5 separate regions of the Mus musculus genome follow, and all the other regions are reported to be linked to region 5. Evidence: microRNA targets listed by miRTarBase, many of them from high-throughput screens and not tested one by one. Region 5 holds a microRNA gene; each other region holds the end of a gene's coding sequence. Distances are between the middles of the regions.

Region 1 (4,066 bases), not on the chromosome of region 5:
TAAAAAACTGTCCTTGAGGTCATATTTTACTATAAATGAATAGAGATAAAAATTCGTTGTTTTGGGTTGCTAGTAGCTGCTTGAGGCTATTTCTTAAATTTAGACAAAGTAGAGTTCCTATGCTCTGTAGGTGTACTAACCGTGTGCCTGTTAGCCCTGTGGAGCCAGTGGACAGCACAGTTCAAAAGGACATGTGCACCATCAGAAAAAGTTAGATTTGCATTGAGGTAGAAGCACATGTGAAAACACAGCAACAACTTCAAATAGCCTGCATCATCCAGGTATCCTAAGCCAGTTTACAGATGGCGGCGGCACCACGAAGCTGGAGTGTGAGCAGCTCTCCAGTGGGAAGCAGACACTCTCAGTGCTTTTGCAGCTCAAGAAGCACAGAGCTGATTTATTTGTTCAGACGTAACCCATTTACACTCACCTAGCGTGCTTCGACTTGACCCTTAGCTCTTCAATGAGACTTGCTTAGGGGAGAAAAGCTAGCGTTCTTTGTTGTAGCCAATGGTTTGAGAGGTAAAATGTCTGCTGCAGTGAGAAGAAGCCTGTCTGGCTCAGGTCATCCTGAGATGTGCACTCGTGGAGCGTCTCTGATGCTGTACTTCTCTCTCTCCAGGAGAACTGCGGCACATCACCAAGCTGAAGCCCTGGAGCCTCTTTGATGTACTTGTGGAAAAGTATGGCTGGCCCCATGAAGATGCTGCACAATTTACAGATTTCCTGATCCCAATGTTAGAGATGGTTCCAGAAAAACGAGCCTCAGCTGGCGAATGCCTTCGACATCCTTGGTTGAATTCTTAGCAGATTCTACAAATATAGCATTCTGAGCTAGCAAATTTCTCCCAGTACATTGGACCTACACAGTGGCTCTCATTCTTTAACAGGATTACCAGTGAGCTGGCTCCACCCTCAGACCTTTGTAGTGCTTTGAGGTACTGTTGTTTGACACTTTGCTTCCTGTGCACCATGGTCCTGGGGAAGGCTGGTCTTTGTCTTCAGCTAAGTAGTTTACTGGCCATTTTCTTCTGGAAACAATAACATGTCTCTAAGCATTGTTTCTTGTGTTGTGTGACATTCAAATGTCTTTTTTTTTTTTTGAACGAAAAATACTTTCCCTTTTGTGTTTTGGCAGGTTCTGTAACTATTTATGAAGACATATTTTAGCTGAGTATTATATAATTTACAATCTTAAGAAATTATCAGTTGGAACCAAGAAAGAGCAAGGAAATGTACAATTTTATCGTCTGGCAAAGGGAAATCATTCCTGTATTATACTAGTGTATGTAACTATTACTTTGCATAAATAGGGGATGAGGATTCACATTCAGAAAAGCTACCCAGTCCTGAGCGCTTTTTGGCCTACATTGCATGTTGCAGATTTCCACTGCTTCAGAAAGTTGCACAAACTTTTCATTCCATAACAACCCAAGTGGTTCTGGACGAGGTGCCATGCCCTCTGTGGCACTTTAAAGAGAGAAAAACTTTAAAAATTTGACACTATAATCTAGCAGTTCCATTTGTATTTTGCATATTTTTAAGCTATGTTTAAAGTATCAGTCATTTCCACTTAAAATGTGATGGCCCAATCCCCGGTAGTGTCACCTCTCACCAGCACTGTAAGTTAAATACGTAGATTAAATTGGACAAGAGAAATATGTTCAGTGTGTGGAATGAAAAAAATATTTTTTGAAAAGCATGATCGTGTTTGTTTAAAACACAAGGCGTGGCTTAGACAGTTTGCAACGCAGTGGACCGAGCACTCCTCACAGCTTCAAGGTAACAGCGACCGTGCCCATGCCGTCCTAGGCAGCTTCCCTTCCCTCGCCTTTTCCTTACCTCCCATGAATGAGAAGGCCATTTCCCCTTTGCAGACCGCATACAGTTTTAGTTTATGCATTTCCTTAAAATTAACTGTAGAATCCAGGATACAAACCATTAGTAGGCAATACTATTTTAGAATGTAACATAGGAGGTGTATTTAGCCTCTTTTAGAAGTCAGTGGGTTGAATGTCTTTTTTTTAAAAATTTTTATTCATTAAGGTGCCTCGTTTTTCTTGACTTTGTCCATTAACATTTATTCATATGCCTTTGCAATAATTAGATTGTGAAAAGCTAACAAGTGTTGTAACAATAATCCTTTGTTTGGGGTGCTTGCACTTGTCTTAAAAATTAAAGTGTTTTGGGGTGTTTTTCCAGACATTGCCTTGCTTATTACCCTGTATTTCAAGAGACAGAATCAACATACCTTTGCTCTCTGTAGTGTCAACAAAGCTAAAGGAGTTGCAGATTGTCACAGAACATACATTAAGGCAGAATGGATTTATGAACGAGGCTTTAGTTATAGCTTCATTATCTACAATGTGGGTGTTCCCTTTTTTTAATCAGTGTTTCATCGTAAGTGCAATGGTTTCCTCCCCTGTCCCCTCCAATCTTTCCCTGTGTGAACAAGACACATATCCTTCTTAGGGTTTAACATTTTTATATCATACACTGTAGTAAGATAGACGATGCCACTCATTCACAAACTATGCATGCTGGGTTTTTCCAATGAGGCTGTGCGTTTCCTTATAGAGCCTATGACAAATGGTGGCTGCTGAGTCATGATTTCTATAGAAACATTCCTATAAGAACCACAGAGTGTGTTTATGTTTTCCCTACCTCTGAAAGAACTTTTACCATTTGAATGAAATTTGTCTAATGAGGTTAGAAATGTCAAATTGGAAAAGGAAGCTAGAATATTAATCTTAAGGTGGTTCTTCTATTAATAATACCCTAGCGAGTGTATGATATACCAAGGAGTTCTAGCATACACTTTTGTGATTGGGTACCATATGGTTATATCTGATTCTTGGTAGCATGATGATAAAGAATAAATGTAAAGGTTGGGTGTGGTGGTGCACTCCTTTAATATCAGCACTTGGGAGGCAGAGGCAGGAAGATCTCTGAGGCCAGCCTGTTCTGCATAAGCTCCAGGCCACCCAAGGTTATATAGTGAAGGAAAATCTAGGAAGAAAAAAGAATAAAAGCTTAAAGTGAACCATTGGTTATTTGGAACATTATAGCCAAGTCAGTCTTTTTAGTGAAAAGACCCTATGAAATCTTCATGGAAAATTACAAGCAGTGGGTCTCACATGTGACTTTAGCAGATCCAGAAATAGCTAATCTAAAAAATGGCAGAACCATCCAGAGAAAAAGTAGTAGGGAGTGTAAAAGAAGTCTACTCTTTAACGAGATCTGCTTGTTTGTCCATATTCCCTGCACCATGCATAACTTAACAGGTATGAGTAAAAAAAACTTTCATTGGAATAGAAAACACGTTCGGATTATTTTTCTTTTCTTATTTTGTGAGGCAAGGACTCGGAGATCTGCCTACCTAGGCATGCCACCCCTCACTACCCCCCCCCCCACACACACACAATCTCTCTCTGAATTAGAAGTTTGTAGAGTGTGTCCATTAAAGATTCTATTTAGTTGAAGTGTTTCAGTTTGCAGAAGAGCTCTCGTTATGAATTACTTAGCTAGCTGGCTACTTTAAGTCTGTGGACAAGTGATTTTAAGGGTGAATATTGCCATTTCTTTGGTCTGTCTGAAATTGTCATGGAGGGACACAATGTGAACCTGTCAGTTTTCAGATTCAGGTTTCTTTGGTAAGCATCCTAAGGAGAACATGGGCAAGTTTCTTCAGAAACTTGGGTCACTGATTTTAAGCCCTAAATGAGCTGTATTCTCGAATATCATCAGAGTTAATTTTCAAATGGGAATTAAATGATAAAACATGATTTAAGTCACTACCAAATCTAATTTCTTGAGTTTGCTGTTTTTCCTGATGCACAAAATTTATATACTGGGCCCAATTGTGTCACATGTTTGGAAGGTGGTAAATAGGGCCACTCCTGAGAGGTAGACAGCAGAAGCTGATAATTAAAAAAAAAAAGTCACAACTGGTATATCTTCTTTCAGTAATAAAATATTCACTGAAACCCTCTTCATTCTATTTGACGTATTTCAGAATAATGCCTTTCGCCCTTGGTTTTGTTTAAAGAGACCTATTTTCTACAAC
Region 2 (4,066 bases), 3.4 Mb from region 5:
TGAGCATGGTTAAAAGCTGATGAGCGTCCATTTTGTGTTGAACTGTAAACACCCAACATTTTGTTTTGTGCAGATGAGCAAAATAGCAGCAGGTGTAGGCCACAGGCCTTTGAGTGGCAGGAAGACCCTTCCTGGAGGGCTGGCAGCCTCAAGCAGGGACCTGTCTGCCAGGCAGTCCTTTCTCTCAAAGCTGGTGGCACTGCTCTCAAAGTAGCTGGCTGTTTTAGACACTTCACTGGGAATATGCCACCGTAACTGGACACCTAACCCAAGAGGCCTTGCCTGAGTCCCCGCTACTCTGCAGGACGACCCCGGCAGTCTTGAAAGGCACCATCCCAGGTATGACCCTCAAACTCTTTCTCACTCTGAGTGTGAAGAGGGCTGCCTCCTCAGTACCTCAGCAAGAAGCCAGTGCTGAGAGAAATGGGAGCTGGGCCCATTTGTGTAAACAGAATCCTCCATTAACAAACATGTCGTACACCCGTACATCCCCTCCTGGCTATACAACCAGGCTGCTCAGCTTTCTCCAGTCAACTGGGAGACATCGGAGATGCCCCAGGTGCTGCACTCGGCCCAGTGGCAGCAGTGAAGATGGCAGAGTGGAGGTGGAAAGTGATGGGGGAGAGACTGCAGGCCAGCACTAGGTCTTGGAATTACAGAGGATGCTCTCAGTGTCTACACAAGTATGCAGGAGGGCTGCAGGCTGACCCGTTACCCGGGGCTGACCCACCCACCCGTGTTATATGAAGGGCGAAGCTTCTTACAGCATCTTCATGGGATGGGGAGAACACCCACACCTACCCTTGTTCTAGCACATTCCATGAATGAGATTATTGTGCCAGTCTTTTTCTGGCCGATTAACTGGGTTCTCTTTCGGTGCTAGGTGCACCCTCTGCACTGCTTTATTATAATAAACAAAACTGTTTATTATTATGGCCTCGTTAAATATCATACTGCTTTTTTAAAGCTGTTTTTTGATTTTGCTTTTTAAGACAGGGTTTCTCTGTGCAACTGCCTTGGCTGTCCTAGAACTCACTTTGTAGACCTGCCTGCCTCTTCTGCCTCCTAAGTGCTGGAACTAAAGGTGTGCGCCACCTCACCCAGATTCAAGATTACTGAATTTTTACACTCAGGACTGCAGCATCCTTTGGCGTCTCTTAACATCGTGGGTATTTCTGGTTTCTGTAGTTATATAGCTCCCGGGCAGTCCCATCCAGGCCTGTGCATGTACAACTAATTCTCTGGGATAGGCCTAGAAGTGGTTCTCCCCATCCACTGCGTTGGTTCCTTCCCCCACCCAAAGCCGTTTCTCAGCACACCTTCCGGCCTGTAACTGGCACCCCCTTCCCATTCAACCGGCAGCCATGAAGATGACTACTTACCGATCTCAGTTCCTGCCTTGCACAGCAACCCTTCCATGACTGATGTCCTGTTGCACACCGAACCATTTGCAAACGTAACTGACACTCCCAGCCCAAACTGTTTCCACCGCCACCACCACCTCAAACCAAGATGGAGATGAAATCCAATTTCACATAAGACACTCAAGCGTTCCGCCATTGAGACACATCTTATTAATGTCGACTTTTAAACAGAAGTTTCTAGTTTTGACAAGAGTTGGAATTACTAAACTTCCCTTCCAGTCAGCACATTCCGGTGTCAGGAATCCACCTCTGGTATTCCCCACTACCTCAAGCAAGGAGGTGTCTGCCTTGGGTGGGAACCCAAGGAACAAACTCCATGTCCTCACTGGTTCGAGAGCATGGCCCCACTGTCCACCTGCTGGCCTCAAATGTACCCGTGGGTGGCCAGAGCTTCAGTTCTCGTGACAAGTATTAAAGATGCTGCGGACCTTAGGATCAGGTTGGGAGTCCTGGCGGACAACGTGGTCTTCCTCAGAGGCAGGGAGGATAGGGTTGATGGTGGTCCCTAATGCCTGATCTGTTATGCTGCAGGACCCTGGAGCAGCACGGTCATCAACCTGTGAACTTGCCCCAGGACGTCAGGATCTGCCAGGGACATTGTGGCCAACTGACACTACATTTTATTCCTACTTGACTGTGTGGCTCCCAAGTATGGGAGCTGAGGACACAGAGCACTGAGACCACAAACGTGGGCTATTTCAAGCCCTTGTGTGGAAAAGCTAGTTCTGAGGTCCTTCCCAGGTGACAACTTGACCAAGGATGAGTCCCATGGCTAAGCCCCCTACCCCTACAGGCTCTTGCCTTCTCATGGCCTGAGACAGACAGACACAAACAAACACACACACACACACACACACACACACACACACACACACACACACACACACACACACACACAGAGGATTCTGACAGGAATTGCACTAACTCTGCAGAGCAGATGGAGAAGCGAGAGCTCTGAATCCGCTTTGGATTTTTAAGGGTGAGTTCCAGAGGACCACTGGAAGTCCTAGAGCAGGGCAGTTTTCAGAGACAGCGAGCTTAAGTAGATTTGTTTATAGACCACATCACAGTCATGAGGAGCCAGACAGTCAAGTTCCCACATGCCCTGGACCAGAGCCGGAACCCACTGGTGGAAGCAGCAAGAAGAGCTGAACAAGTGTTCGCAAGCAGGAACAGGGGCTGCGGGCCAGGAGGTCCAGCAGAGGCCCAGCGGCAGGCAGGAGGTTCCAGAGATTCTAGGAGCTATGTCCGTAAAAGTTAGGAAGGACCTATTAGACACTGGCCATCCAGAAGTGGGCTAGGAACATTCACTGTAGCTAACCATATGGTGTCCTGCCTCAGGGCCACAGGCCACCTGTACCCAGACATGAGCTGTCACTCCAGCACACACCACCAGACAAGCAGGAAACCCCCATGAAAGAATGTTTTAGTGTTCAAGGCTCCGAGTCACGTAGTGGCTTCTGGCCTAGATAAGCAAGAGACAGAGGCTGCCTGGTGGGTCCTACCGGCTGTCCAGTGCCTGGTCAGTGTTTGGAGCTGGGGATTGGAAGGAAGGTAGGGCTAGAGACCATGGAACCCGCTTGAGCCTGCTGGCTGGGAAAGACTGGGTTAGGACAGAACTATCCCACCAGGCTGTACGCACGTCCCGGACACAGGCTGCTTTGTGAGCGCCGAGCTTGCCCAGCAGCCTTCAGAACAAAAGCCTTCTGTCTGCACCGCAGCTTCCTCTCCTCCGGTCTCCCAGGCAGAGCCCCCAGGCTCCCATCCAGCTTCCCACCACACACACACATCAGGCGCATCCGTGGCCCAGTACAGGAGGGAGCTCTGCTGCAGGAGGCATAGAGCCAGAGTCTAAGAAAGAGGTTCAGGGAAACAACCAGAGCTGTTCCACTCAGGGAGGCCCAATACTTCCTGTACTTTGGGGCATGTGTGATTACAGCATGGTGCCAACCGTACGCTACACACATCCCAGTGTGCCAAAAAGAGGAAGATAAAGGGACAGTGGAAGAGGGCAGCAGCCAGGTATCCCCAGGAACAGCTCTACCGCGTATATATAGGTCCCCTCCAAACCTCTCAGGAGGACCAGACTGTTGTAACACCAAAACCATAGGCGAAAGGGCTCTGGCCCTGGAGGGAACACAAGCCTGGACCTCTCTGCTCCTTGCCTCTGAGATCCTACACAGATGGCTACATCCTAGGGCCTTCAGTGTTCAGGAGGCAGAATCCAAATCAAGCCAGGCAGAGCACCAGCCAGCCTGGCTAGCTCCTGCTGACATTGCCGCTGCAGTTGGTGCAACGCCTTCTTCAGACAGGCCTCCTTGGCGCTCAGTGTCCTGATCACCTCGGCTGCCTGTAGGCCTTGGGGTCTTGGTGCCCCATCTTTACTTCTCACCAGTCGATGGGGTCTTTGTGGCTGGCCAGGGGTACTGGATTGCTCCCAGGACCCCTGCAGGGCTGCCAACTCCTGCTGGACAGCCTCCTGTAGGGCCTTCCTTGAGTTGCTCCATTCTGGCCCCTGACCTAGGCCTCCAACCTGCGTGAGAGAAGGTACAGATGCTCTTGAGCCAAGGGCAGCTCTGTTCCCAGAATCCAGGATCCAGGTGCTCCCAGCAACCCTGCAGCCCCGAAGCTCCTACCATAGA
Region 3 (4,066 bases), not on the chromosome of region 5:
CACCCTGTATGTTTTACTTTGTAGCCAATTATTAACGTCAGAATCTAAAACATTGCTACCTTTATCTAATCTATCACCCAAAGAGCATTTTATTTTCAAAAAATAAAATAAAATAATGTCCCCTATAAGGATTTAATGTGAGATCGCATATTGCCTTCAGTTGAGAAATACAACTCATTTTCAGATATTTCAGAACCGTTCTGTGGAAATCCTTTCACATCTACACGAGTCTAATCCCTCTCTGTTGGTGTCTGATATTTGACCTTAACTCCAATAGAAAGCTGGTGTATGTGTCTGTGTTATACAGATGTGCTTGGTACCAAAGCCATCCTTTCATTCTGCAGGTCACTTAGAAACGTGGACTAGTGCTGTGGACGTGTAAGAGCTTCTAGGAGCAGCCAGGATGCCTCGCCTTAAAGCTACAGCTGTCACCAGCACCCACTTCTTCTTCAGTGAGCTCTTAATGCAAACTGCATTGACTATCATGTTTGCCACTGAGCCGTCTTCTTTTGGAAGCATATTGCACACCTGCATTTTGACAAAAAGGAGAAATGTGTCTATCCTCTGCTATTTCATTCTGTGTCTGGAAGACTACTGGAGCATCCAGAGGGGGTTCACTATTTCTGGGTGGGTCCAGACAATCTGACTTTGATACACATCTTAGAAAATGTGTATCATTAAATATAGCATAGAATTCTGGAGAAGGAGGTGGTTTTCCAAAAGTTTTTAACCCCAAATAAAACCAATTTCTCATTAGCATAACTTTCAGAGAAAATGTAAACTCATTCCACTTCAATAAAGTTTGAAAAGAGAACTGGATGTCAGCTCTTTCTGGGTAGAACGCGATGACCAATGGGGAAAGAAAATATGCTGCTCTTTCCTGGCCTTTGCCAAGTGCCAACAGGCACATGGCTCAACCAGTTAGCAAAACAACTTCATCAGGTTAATGTCAGAACACATCACACTGTCTCCTCTTTCTTAACAACTGGGCCAACCATCTTTCTGCGCGATGCTCTTGGTGCCACATGCAAACTCAGGGGAGTTTGTTGACCTCTTCTGAAAATATGAGGTACTCCCACGTGGGGTGGTGGCTGGGGAGATCAATGTGGGCCTTTCTGCCTGGGGCTTAATCACAGTTGAACTTGAAGTTCACCAGGACACTTGGAACACTAGGATGGAGGCAAAAGAGGACATCAGTGGCCTGTAGCCCTTTCCAATGCTCCAGCCACTGAGGACTTGGCTCAGTCTGCTTCTGCGACGCTTCTCTATGGTCTGCTTCTGCGCAGCCTCGCTATGGTCTGCTTCTGCGCAGCCTCGCTATGGTCTGCTTCTGCGCAGCCTCGCTAACTATGAGAAGACGATTCTTGCTCTCCATCCTTTCACGGTCTGTCCATGCCCTGTAAGTGATGCCTAAGGATTTTCATGCAGCTATTGTGCCTGCATTGCTAACTCTAGTTGGGTGTCCTCATGGACATGGCTTCACTACCTAAAATATGCACAGAATGGGATGACAGCAGACATTCCAAGGCTGGACCATCCTCCATGCCTGCAATTGAGAAGCACATCAAGTCAGTTATGACTGCCATCCTGGCTCAGGGAAGCCGACAGTTTGGTGAGGGGGAAAACAGACAAGTCAGAGCACTGGTTTTATGAACAAAAGGTAATTCTGGAAGAAGCGGGGTGGCAGGAAGAACGGCTGTCTTCTCCTAAACAGTGTGCCTCAGATTCTTCAGAGAGCTTTTCATTTTAGACCAAGAAGAAGTGTTTCACTTTATCATCATCCCAAGCATATATATTATATTTATTGATTTTACTATTTTCATCCACTGAATTTGGTGTGTGTGTGTATGTGTGTGTGTGTGTGTGTGTGTGTGTGTAAAATTAAAAAATTTTTAAATCAAAAGAAAGAAATAAAATGAAGACCTACGGGGCTGGTGAGATGGCTCAGTGGTTAAGAGCGCCGACTGCTCTTCTGAAGGTCCCGAGTTCAAATCCCAGCAACCGCATGGTGGCTCACAACCATCCATAACGAAATCTGATGCCCTCTTCTGGAGTATCTGAGGACAGCTACAGTGTACTTATAAATAAATAAATAAATCTCTAAAACAAACAAACAAACACCATTTTTTAAAAAATGAAGAAAAAAAAATGAAGACCTACATATACACTTACCACTCACTGATGACCATGGCTGACATTTTAGTCTATACACAGGTCTAATCTTTTTATCTTAAACACGTGAAAGTTTTAAAAACATCAAACCCATATTCTACAGATAAAGACACACAAGTGTTTTTCAATTAGAGAAATGTATTGGTTTTTCTGCTGCTACCTCTTGGCTCCTGAGAGTGCCTCTGGAACTCGTGCTTCTCATGAGCTCCCACAAATGGAGGCCCCACCCTCCACCTCAGCAGTTTCTATAGGCAAACACTGCAAAATGCTGGGTGCATAATGCATTTCGAGCGCGCTGCATAGGGTGAGAAGCGCGCCCTTTGTCTCCAAGGTCATAATGGCTCTGCTGACTTGAATTCCTTTCACTGAGATAGTGAGGACAACTCGAAAATGCCAGAGAGAACGAGAGCCCCCTACCCCATGATCCCAAATGACAAAGCGCGAGGACACAGAAATCCCCTTACACATCCCCCCAGGCCCCTTTTGTGTGGTTCTTGCCAACACAGCAGCCATCCTGCTGTATATATATCAGCTGCCACTCCTGTCCCCATCATACTCAACACTGACCATTTGCTGTCAACAACGATGGGAAAGGTGAGCCAAAGGAGAACCCTCCCCGAGTCTGTTGAGTGCCCCCTCTGGGTGGGGGATGCGCCTTCGAGTTGACCATGTGATGTTACACCGTTTCTTCCTTTACAGATCACCTTCTACGAGGACCGCGGCTTCCAGGGCCGCTGCTATGAGTGCAGCAGCGACTGCCCCAACCTGCAGACCTACTTCAGCCGCTGCAACTCCATCCGTGTGGACAGTGGCTGCTGGATGCTCTATGAGCGCCCCAACTACCAGGGCTACCAGTACTTCCTGCGTCGCGGGGACTACCCTGACTACCAGCAGTGGATGGGTTTCAGCGACTCCATCCGCTCCTGCCGTTCCATTCCATACGTGAGTATTGCTTCAGCCTGGCTGATGTGAGAGAACACTAGGTCTTCCTGATGGTCAGTTTGTTCCAGTTCGTGTTCTAATGCCCTAAGCAAGGCTAGGAACGCGTGACAAGTGCTCACAGTTATATCAAGACCCGACTCTTAAGGCTAAATAGAATATAAGCAATATATTATTTCTTACTTAAGGGCATTAGTGTTTTAGGACATAAGAAACCACAGCATGACCTTTAAAATTAATCTTGGCCGAATAAATACATACCCTTCAGCCATAAAAGAAGGAAATCCTATCATTTGTGATGACATGGATGAACCTGGAGGGCACTGTGCTAAAAGAAAGGAGTCAAGTATGTAGTGATAAAGGCCACAAGTTCTCATTTTTATGGGGGATCTACAGCAGCAGGTTTATGGCAAGAAGATCAGGCTCGTTGATTTAGCTCAGCAGTAGTGTGCTTGTCTAGCAGGCATGCAGCCTTGAGTTCTGTTATCAGCACCAGGCATAAAAATATAGAGGCTAGGGCGGCAACGCAGAGGACCAGAGGCTTGGAGTGACAGTCAGAAAAAGAAAAATTGCTGCTGGAGAGAACTATGATCTAGACATCTACTGTATAGCACAGTGATGACTGTTCATGTTATGTATTAGAGTTATTAAAAATTGCTGAAAGGTGAGGCTGGAAGATGGCTCAGTGGTTAAGTGCACTGCCTACCCTTCTAGAGGACCTGGGTCTGTTTCCCAGTGCCCACAAGTGGCTCACAACTGTGCGTGACTCCAGTCCTAAGGAATGCCATGCTTTCTTTTGGTCTCCATGAGCTCCAAGCACAACTCACGTAGTGCACTTACAAACATGCAGGTAAATATTCATAGCCATGAAATTAAAAGAAATATATCTTAAACACACAATAAAAATGCTGAGTGGATTCTATGTATTCTCAGCACAAAAATAATAATTATGTGG
Region 4 (4,066 bases), not on the chromosome of region 5:
CTGTCACAGTACTTCAGCCCAGCCTCAGTGTCCAACAGCCCCACCCGGGCCCTGGTGCTGGTTGGTGTGGTTCTCCTGGCCTACTGGTTCTTGTCTCTGACCTTGGGCTTCACCTTCAGCCTCCTCCACCTGGTGTTTGGCCGCTTCTTCTGGCTCGTGCGTGTCATCCTGTTCTCCATGTCCTGCGTGTATATCCTACATAAGTACGAGGGCGAGCCAGAGCACGCAGTGCTACCGCTCTGCGTCGTGGTGGCCATCTACTTCATGACGGGGCCCATGGGCTACTGGCGGGGCAGCCCCGGTGGCCTTTGCAGCCCCAGTGTGGAGGAGAAGCTGGAACACCTGGAGAACCAGGTGAGGTTGCTTAACATCCGCCTCAACAGGGTGCTCGAGAACCTTGACCGCTCCAAGGACAAGTGAAGGTCAGCTGCCTAGCCGTCCAACCAGCTAGTGATGTCAAAAGACAGAAGAAGAAGAGAAGAGCCGGCAACCCCACCAAATCCCAACCCTCCCAATAAACTGAGCAAAAACGCCACGCCTGGTATTTCCCACTGTGTGTCGACCTTAGGAGCCACTGGAGGAGAGAGCACTTTCGTAGATCACCAGTGGGAAAGCAGTTTTTAAACAACGGATATACCCCCTGTTAGCTGTGTAGTCGGATAACTTTACCTGTGCATAGAACATAATGTTGATTTTTCTTCCCAAACATTTAAATACATCTTTTGTAAGGTTTTTAAATAAAGGCAGATGGAGTCAAGTTTATCAGAGCTTTGAAGGGAACGCTTGACGTCCTTAAGGAGGTTAAAATTGGCTTGTGGGTGAGCACCGTGTGCAATCTCTTCGTCTTCCCGAATGTGACCTTTATTTCGTGTCTTCTGGGGTTGGTGGTGACCTGGTTAACAAGTGCTGTCTCTTGTTCTTGTGGACACTTGGGCTTCAGAGGATTGGATCCTAGGGATCCTGTGAGCTCTTCGTCCATTGTGCCCCTCCATGTCTATTTCTGTTTTGTATGGTGCTGGGGATACTGAGCCCACCCCCCCACCCTTGTCCATTGTATTTCTGAATGAAGGTACCCACAGACGTCCCGAGATCTCTTTCTCTTCTCTGGACTTCAATGTAGATTAACCCTAGCCTTTCCAGGAAGAAAGGACATGGATGGAGCTGCAAACTGTCTTTGGAGTTTGATGCTAAGAACCGGGTAGGCCCCGAAGATCATTCCAGAATCCAGCTGAATCTCACATTCCCTGTTGGCCAGCGAGGCCCAGATAGCCGGCTGGACCCTCATGGGAATCACTTGTTTCCTTTGCTTCTAATTGACTCGGGACCATAGAAGAAAAAGGAACCGTTCACGGCCAGTAACATCCTTTATTTCATTCCTTCTAGAACATTCGTAGGCATAAGCAACCTTGAGATCTGAATCGTTTGTCCTGAAATTTTTATAATTGTGTTAGGTGCTTTTTAAAGTCTGGGGTCCAGGGCATTGCTTGTTAATAGCTAAACCCCTGGGTGCAGAGACCTCTCTGCCAGCTTCTGTGGAAAGAGAGCTGGCTTTTGTGGGATGTCACTAGGGTCGCCCGTGAGGACTGTGGAGCCACTGAGTCCCAACTTGAGCTTGGAGGGGGACCCAGCTGATGGCAGCTCTGGTGCCGTATGTCTGTGAAGTTCTGTCTTTGGTTACAGGTATCTGTCACACAGATTTGGGTCTTTGAGGATGTGGCCGAGAGAGACCTCTGTTCTCGAGGTGACAGGCAGTATGGGACTCTCATTTTCTTGAATTTCATTCCCTTCTGGAACCGGTACTGGGGAAATCTCTCCACAGACATTGGAAATCCACAACTTGTGATGTGAAACATTCCGATTTTGTTGTTTAGATGCTCTAGGCATATCTACTCGCGGCACAGGGTGGAAGTAGCCGAGAAGGGGCACCTTGGCTGTTAATATCTTTCCTTCCAGATGTCTGGTCATATCATACTAAAAGATTACTTTTCAGATGTTGGCTAGGGGGCAGTCACTCTCTGTAAAGCTAAACCTTCTTGCCTTGGCTCCTCTCAGTGGCCACTTGAGATGTTGTAGGTCGATTCCTATACAGTCCACTGTAGCTAAGACTGCAACTCCACCCAGTATTCAGGAGGCAGAGGCAGGAGGATTGCTGCTATTTGAAGGCCAGCCAGGTCTTAAGTGGTCTATTTCAGGTCAGCCAGGGTTACATAGCGAGACCAAAAGCCAGGTATGGTAGCACAAGAGAGCAGAGGCAGGCACATCGGAGTTTAAAGCCAGTCTGGTCTATGTAGTGAGTTCCAGGACAGGCAGTTTTAATACACTGAGACCTTGTCTCAAAACAATAGCAACAAAAAAGGTAAAAATCTGCAATATTTTTTTCCAGTCTGACCAAATGTAGACTCTAAAGCCAGTTTTATAGTTGAATATATATAATGTGTATATACATATATATGCTATATATATTCATGTATTATTTGTATATATACACTATATATATACATACACAAGATGCCTTCATTTTAATTTTTACATCTAGTTATTATGATTTTTTGAGACAGGGTCTCATGTATTTAAGACTGGCCTTGAACTTGCTAAGTAGCTGAGACTGGCCTTAAACTCTCCTGCCCCCAGCCCGAGTGCAGGAATGATGTGCACATGTGACTACGCCCCCATTGTTCGAACGCCTTGGGGTGAACGCGGCCTATGCATGTTAAGAGAGCACTCAAGAGTCCAGTCCTGGATACCTTCATTCTTAGTGGAAGAATGTACAAATCAGAGTAGAATGTTACTTGAAATTCTAGTAGTTTTTTTGTTTTTAAAAACTTCAACCGGGCGTGGTGGCGCACGCCTTTAATCCCAGCACTCTGGAGGCAGAGGCAGGCGGATTTCTGAGTTCGAGGCCAGCCTGGTCTACAGAGTGAGTTCCAGGACAGCCAGGGCTACACAGAGAAACCCTGTCTCGAAAATCAAAAAAACAAAAAACAAAAAAAAATAAAACAAAACAAAACAAAAAAACTTCAGATGGTGTTACTGTGTTTGATGCATATATTTTAGCTTGTTTGTTTGTTTGTTTGTTTGTTTGTTTTTCTTTTTGAGGCAGGGTCTCTCTACATAGCCCTGGCTGTCCTGCAACTCTCTGTGTAAACCAGGCTGCCCTCTAACTTGCAGAGATCCACCTGCCTCTGATTGCTGGTATTAAAGGTGTTGCACCACCATGCCTGGCATTGTTTGGAAGTAATCATAGCCCCCAGTAGTTAAAGATTTTTTTCTTTTCTTCTTTCATTCCGTGGACAGCTTATTGGCCTCCCTTCCCTTCCCCCTCCCCCTATCTCTTTTGTATGTGGAAAGATGTATTTTTGTACCTTATTTCATGCCTTATCTTCAGGGCTGTGTACAACTCCTCCTTAACCGAATAACATGATAAACATTTGGACAGCAGCCACTGTGGATCTATTATAGATAAGGGGCGGGGCAGGCGATATGGCTCAATGAAGAAAGGCACTTGCCACCAAACCTGAGTTTGATTCCCGGGACCAACATGGTGAAAAAAGACAGACCACTCCCACAGGTTTCCTTCTAACCTCTACGCATGGGCTGTGGCTTCCCACCCCTTGGCCCCAATAAATACATATATACTTTTTTTTTTTTAAATGAAAAGATAGTGTAAGGATTATAACTGTCTCAAAGTCAGTATTAACTCCCTGGTGGTCGTCTCTCATATTAGGTACTTGCTTTACCGAGGACAGGACTGGTTGCCTCTGAAGTGTACTGACTGGGCTTAGCTTAGGGTATTGGGGTTGGTGATTTTTGATGGTGGTGTTTTATTTTGAATTATTTTATGTATATGGGTGGTTTTTTTTTTGTTTTTGTTTTTTTTGTTTTTGTCACACTTGTATGTCTGTGTACCACGTATTTGCCTGGTGCCTGCAGAGAGGAGAAGAGGGTGTCAGATCGCCCTGGAATTAGTGATAACTGTCAGCTGCCTTGTGGATGCTGAAAAAGTCAAACCCAGGTTGTTTGGAAGAACAGCCGGTGTGCTCTAACCACTGAGCAGCCTCTCTGGCCC
Region 5 (4,066 bases):
GGTGCCCTGTAGCCATGTCATGAGGGAGAGAACATGTGTACAAGCATAGGCAACCAACTATCTACCTGGAACACCTAAGAAGTCTATCTTTATTCATGTTCTTTTTTTTTTTTAATCTCAATGTTCCATTTCCCAGCAAGTGGAGGGTCAACAGAATCTGTTCTCAGAACACCACATGCCACTTACATATATTTTTGTCCAGGAGACATTGTCTCGTTCTGACAAAGGCTCAGATATCTTTTTGTTTCCCATTTCATGATAACCTCCTTGCATCAGGGCCTCCACCGTGGAACATAGGTTGATGTCCTCCCCTCTAGCAGATGGGTGGTGACCTCGACTGAGAGGTCACGGGACCCACCTCCTCTCTTGTCACGGATCCAGAGCTGGACTTTGGGAAGCAAAGTCAGGATTATTATATCATTCTCTGATGTTTGAGGAGACTCCAAAGACCTCCCCAAAGGATGACCAATCCAAAGCCTGTCTACAAGATCCTGATTCTGCCTGCGTGGAGCGGGCACAGCTGTGAGAGCCCCCTAGGTACAGCGGGGCTGCAGCGTGATCGCCTGCTCACGCACAGGAAGTGACGACAGCGGTACTCAAGCCACAGGAAGTGACGACAGCGGTACACAAGTGGTACACAGGGTTCCATGCTGCTGACGTACGGTGCTTAATGAGAAGTTGCCCGCGTGTTTTTCGCTTTATATGTGACGAAACATTCGCGGTGCACTTCTTTTTCAGCATCCTATTCTACGTTGAAGACTTCGGGGGTTCAACTACTTACTGACTTCAGGGAAGCCATGTTAGTCTAGGAAAGTAGTCTATGTAGTGAGCCTGGGTTGTGTGAGTTTATCTCCCTTCTTGAATGGTCCTCTGACCTTTCTTAATGAGAATGGGTTTGGGTTGGTTGGCTCCTGCTCCCTCCTCCCTCCTCCACAACACAGTGTCAAAGGAACCAGTTGACCAGACATTATTGATTCCTAGATGAGACCTTAGCCCACAGGGAGATGTTTGCTGAGACTTCTGGGAGGGGAATGAGTCTTCATTTCTGTGAGAGATGTCTGAGTGGATCTCACTGTTCCCTGAGTTTGAAGGCCAGCTAGAATTCAAGAGGACAGTACCCAGGGCTGTTTAGACAGAGGGGGAAGTGCCTGTCCCAGAGGAACCATGGGACATTTGAGTAACAGTACAATCTGGGACCTGCATCCGACACTCCTTGAAGCTCAACACGTCACTGTACCTTTAAGTTATATTAGCCTGGATGCCTCCTTTGTGTGTAAGTCAGCTTGAGGTGGGCCTTTCCTTACTATGAGAGGAATGGATGGCTCCTTGTTGAGTGGCCTGTCAATGAGTGTAACTGGCATTCTTTGGATGGTATGTTCTCTTGCTCATTATTCCCATTGTCCAGTCTAAGGTAGGTAGTTGGTACCAAGTCACTTTCCTTTGTGGTTCAGATATATTGCTGTAGTGTTGTAACCTTCCAGTAACGGTAACACACACTAATCAATGCGTTTTGTTTTCAGGGAAGGGTCGGTCATATGTCCCGTTCAGGACAGCCGCAAGATGATGAACGGACATTGCATCCCCAGACATCTCACACGCTCAGAATCCTGGAGCCTCCCATTTCAACCTGTTCTTCTGCTTCCCAGTACCCTGTGAGCTCTTTGTTGTATTTGTCTACATCGTAAGTCACTTCTGGGTGCGGGAGAGGGGGGACCTCAGAGGGCATCATCCAGGCACTCACACAGCTGGTTTAGGCTGCCCTGGATTTTGCCACCTAGTTCTTTGACTTTTTTTTTTTTTCTCAGCTTCAGAAGAGGATCCTGGAACTGAGAGAGGAGATTCTGTCTTGGAGTTTGGCACCATCCCATTTCCCCCGAGTGACACTTCAGAATGACTGGCAAGGATGGTAGGCAACATCTCAGAATCTTCAGTCTTCGTCCCAGGTCTTCCTGAGATCCTGAGGTAGAGGGGGTTTGGGCTGGATTGCTATGGCAGTGATGAGTACTGAGCCACTCCCCTTGCCTCAGGACCCCCATCCCTGTCCCCCTCCCGGCCAAGTATCTGCCTCACCCACCATCCCTTCCTTCCGCCTGTCCCTCAGCATCCCTTCACACTCAGGCACACTGCTGGAACAAGCAAGAGCTCAGCCGTGGTACCTGAAAAGAAGTTGCCCATGTTATTTTTCGCTTTTATTTGTGACGAAACAAACATGGTGCACTTCTTTTTCGATATCAAATCTCACCTTGGAGAGCTCCCCATGGACCAGAGGGAGGACGGGAGGCCAGGGGGTTTGGGTCACCATGTGCACAGGGGCATTTACCTCAAAGAAGCACAATTTCACCTGCCCCTCTTGGCTCTGTGCATTGTTAGGTCCAGAATGCCCACCTCCTGGGACAGGCACAGTCAGTAAGGGAAACCAGGAAGCGCACTTTTAGGCTCTGTTGTAGGATGGAGTTCAGATAAGAGAAGCCCAGAAAATTATAAAATCCAAACAATAGCAATTTAATCAAACAGCCAATACAAGCCAAACCACCAATTCCTTCTGGAGACATGTGTCTAGATGTCAGCTGCAGGTGTCTTTACCAAGATATGTCAGTTGGTGAGTGTCACATAACACTATGACTCTAGAAAAGCCTGGGCCCCAGATCAGCTCTTTACCAGCATCCTGCCATGTCTACGGGCTGTGCTCTTTGATGCCATTAGCAAGGCCTTGAGGACTGGTGGGTGCTGGCTACGATTGGGACCAGGGAACAGCAAGCTGTCATCAGCCACTGCTGCCTGTCTCTTATCTCTGATACTGGTACCCCTGCCCTCTGGAGTGGTAGATGTAAGGCGGCACTTCAGACCCCTTTTCCCTAGTGAACTTCTCTTTATGGCTAACATTCTCTGGTAGCCTCCTCATGGCATCAAAATTGCCTTTGAGTGTGGTTGTTTGAGCAGGGCCCTTTGGTGGCTCTCTTGTGAGAGTGGGAGGGAGGATACAATCCAGAGAGTATGAGAACACCTCATCCATCCATCTCCCCTGGAGGGTTTCCGAAGCTGAGCCAGTACAAGATATGGGATCACTCTTAGGCAACCCTTTGCTAGGATACTAGCTATTTCTTTCTTTGCTCAAGTTGGAATAAAAGCTTTGTTTATACTTACGTGGCTCAACAACCATAGCGCATCAAAACCCAGTGCAAACTCCATCTAAGAGGTACCAGGATTAGCCACACACTTAGCTCTTAGTTTCTACTGGCTCAGTGATGCCCTTGGGCTGTGGCTGTACCTGTGTTTTGGCTTCTGCCTATAAAAGATGGAAACACCTTTGGAAAAGCAGCAACTCTCCCTTTATACCCATGGAGAAAGGCTAAGGGGCATGGAACAAGCATGGTCAACCCATTTTCTTAGGTTGAAAATCCCTTTCCATCTAGTGGGTACTGGCCTCGGTGCTGGTGGAGCAGTGAGCACGCCATACATTATATCTGTGACACCTGCCACCCAGCCCAAGGCCCCTAGGCCCACAAACTTCTGGAGGGGAGTTTGTCTTGGATTCATCCAAGGAATGCAAAGGACACCTGGACAGAAATGCCTCTGGTGGTCATCCCAAGGTAACCGGACTTGTTCAGTTCCATTTCACATTTAGCTTTGTGCTTTATTGGCAGGCTTCTAAGGGCTGCTATTCACCCCTACATCCCAGGTACGTATAGGCCCAGAGGGAGCCTTCCATCTTTGAGGGTAGAATATTCTCTGGGCACAATACCTCACCAGCTGTCTTTTTCACAGGAGAAGCCTGGGCAGGATTGCCGCAGCTGTTCCAAGAGGCCCCAAGGGACAGTGTCCACATCATGGTGTTTGTTCGTGGAAGATATTAAACGCTGACCTCTTTTTGAGCACAAAATCCCTCCTTGAAGGGCTCTCTGTACCCGGTGTCAGGTTCAGGAACACGATGTGGGCATCAGCCCCTTGCTGATGGTATGTGAGCAGATGTCTGGCCAGATGGCAAGTGCTTTTGTTTATTTATTTTCTTATTTTGAGACTTGAGAGTTTATTGAATGAATCATCCTATAATCCAATTTCCCAAGGC

The links. The annotated mature microRNA mmu-miR-495-3p reads AAACAAACAUGGUGCACUUCUU and lies in region 5 at 2,202-2,223, shown strand. An mRNA with a match to its seed (bases 2 to 7 or 8) in the 3' UTR can be bound and repressed. Matches are read on the target gene's strand: a 7mer-m8 pairs with bases 2 to 8, a 7mer-A1 pairs with bases 2 to 7 and ends in A, and an 8mer does both.
Region 1: miRTarBase lists Srpk2 as a target of mmu-miR-495-3p. Seed matches in the 3' UTR shown: 7mer-m8 at 1,710-1,716.
Region 2: miRTarBase lists Tedc1 as a target of mmu-miR-495-3p. Seed matches in the 3' UTR shown: 7mer-m8 at 2,255-2,261 and 7mer-m8 at 1,731-1,737.
Region 3: the mRNA of D630023F18Rik is a reported target of mmu-miR-495-3p. The part of its 3' UTR that is shown has no 7-base or 8-base seed match.
Region 4: miRTarBase lists Bri3bp as a target of mmu-miR-495-3p. Seed matches in the 3' UTR shown: 7mer-m8 at 3,058-3,064, 7mer-m8 at 3,062-3,068, 7mer-m8 at 3,066-3,072, 7mer-m8 at 3,070-3,076, 7mer-m8 at 3,074-3,080 and 7mer-m8 at 3,078-3,084.

What each region holds. Positions count from the first base shown.
Region 1 is chr5:23,504,277-23,508,342 of GRCm38, reverse strand. Srpk2 (serine/arginine-rich protein specific kinase 2) reads left to right here. Exons shown (of 16, transcript NM_001359173.1): 16 at 623-4,066. The coding sequence ends at 807. Among named protein-coding and RNA genes, the nearest start is that of Kmt2e, 72 kb to the right of the region's middle.
Region 2 is chr12:113,162,944-113,167,009 of GRCm38, reverse strand. Tedc1 (tubulin epsilon and delta complex 1) reads right to left here. Exons shown (of 8, transcript NM_134041.3): 8 at 1,552-3,957. The coding sequence ends at 3,628. Among named protein-coding and RNA genes, the nearest start is that of Tedc1, 8.6 kb to the right of the region's middle.
Region 3 is chr1:65,102,029-65,106,094 of GRCm38, reverse strand. D630023F18Rik (RIKEN cDNA D630023F18 gene) reads left to right here. Exons shown (of 8, transcript NM_001285882.1): 8 at 345-810. The coding sequence ends at 366. Cryga (crystallin, gamma A) reads left to right here and starts at 2,732. Exons shown (of 3, transcript NM_007774.3): 1 at 2,732-2,766; 2 at 2,872-3,114. The coding sequence starts at 2,758.
Region 4 is chr5:125,454,334-125,458,399 of GRCm38, forward strand. It overlaps Bri3bp (Bri3 binding protein), which reads left to right. Exons shown (of 3, transcript NM_029752.2): 3 at 1-4,066. The coding sequence ends at 420. Among named protein-coding and RNA genes, the nearest start is that of Gm40325, 8.2 kb to the right of the region's middle.
Region 5 is chr12:109,716,594-109,720,659 of GRCm38, forward strand. Mir495 (microRNA 495) reads left to right here and starts at 2,161; the gene lies at 2,161-2,223. Mir666 (microRNA 666) reads left to right here and starts at 492; the gene lies at 492-590. Mir543 (microRNA 543) reads left to right here and starts at 665; the gene lies at 665-740. It overlaps Mir667 (microRNA 667), which reads left to right and starts at 3,413; the gene lies at 3,413-3,504.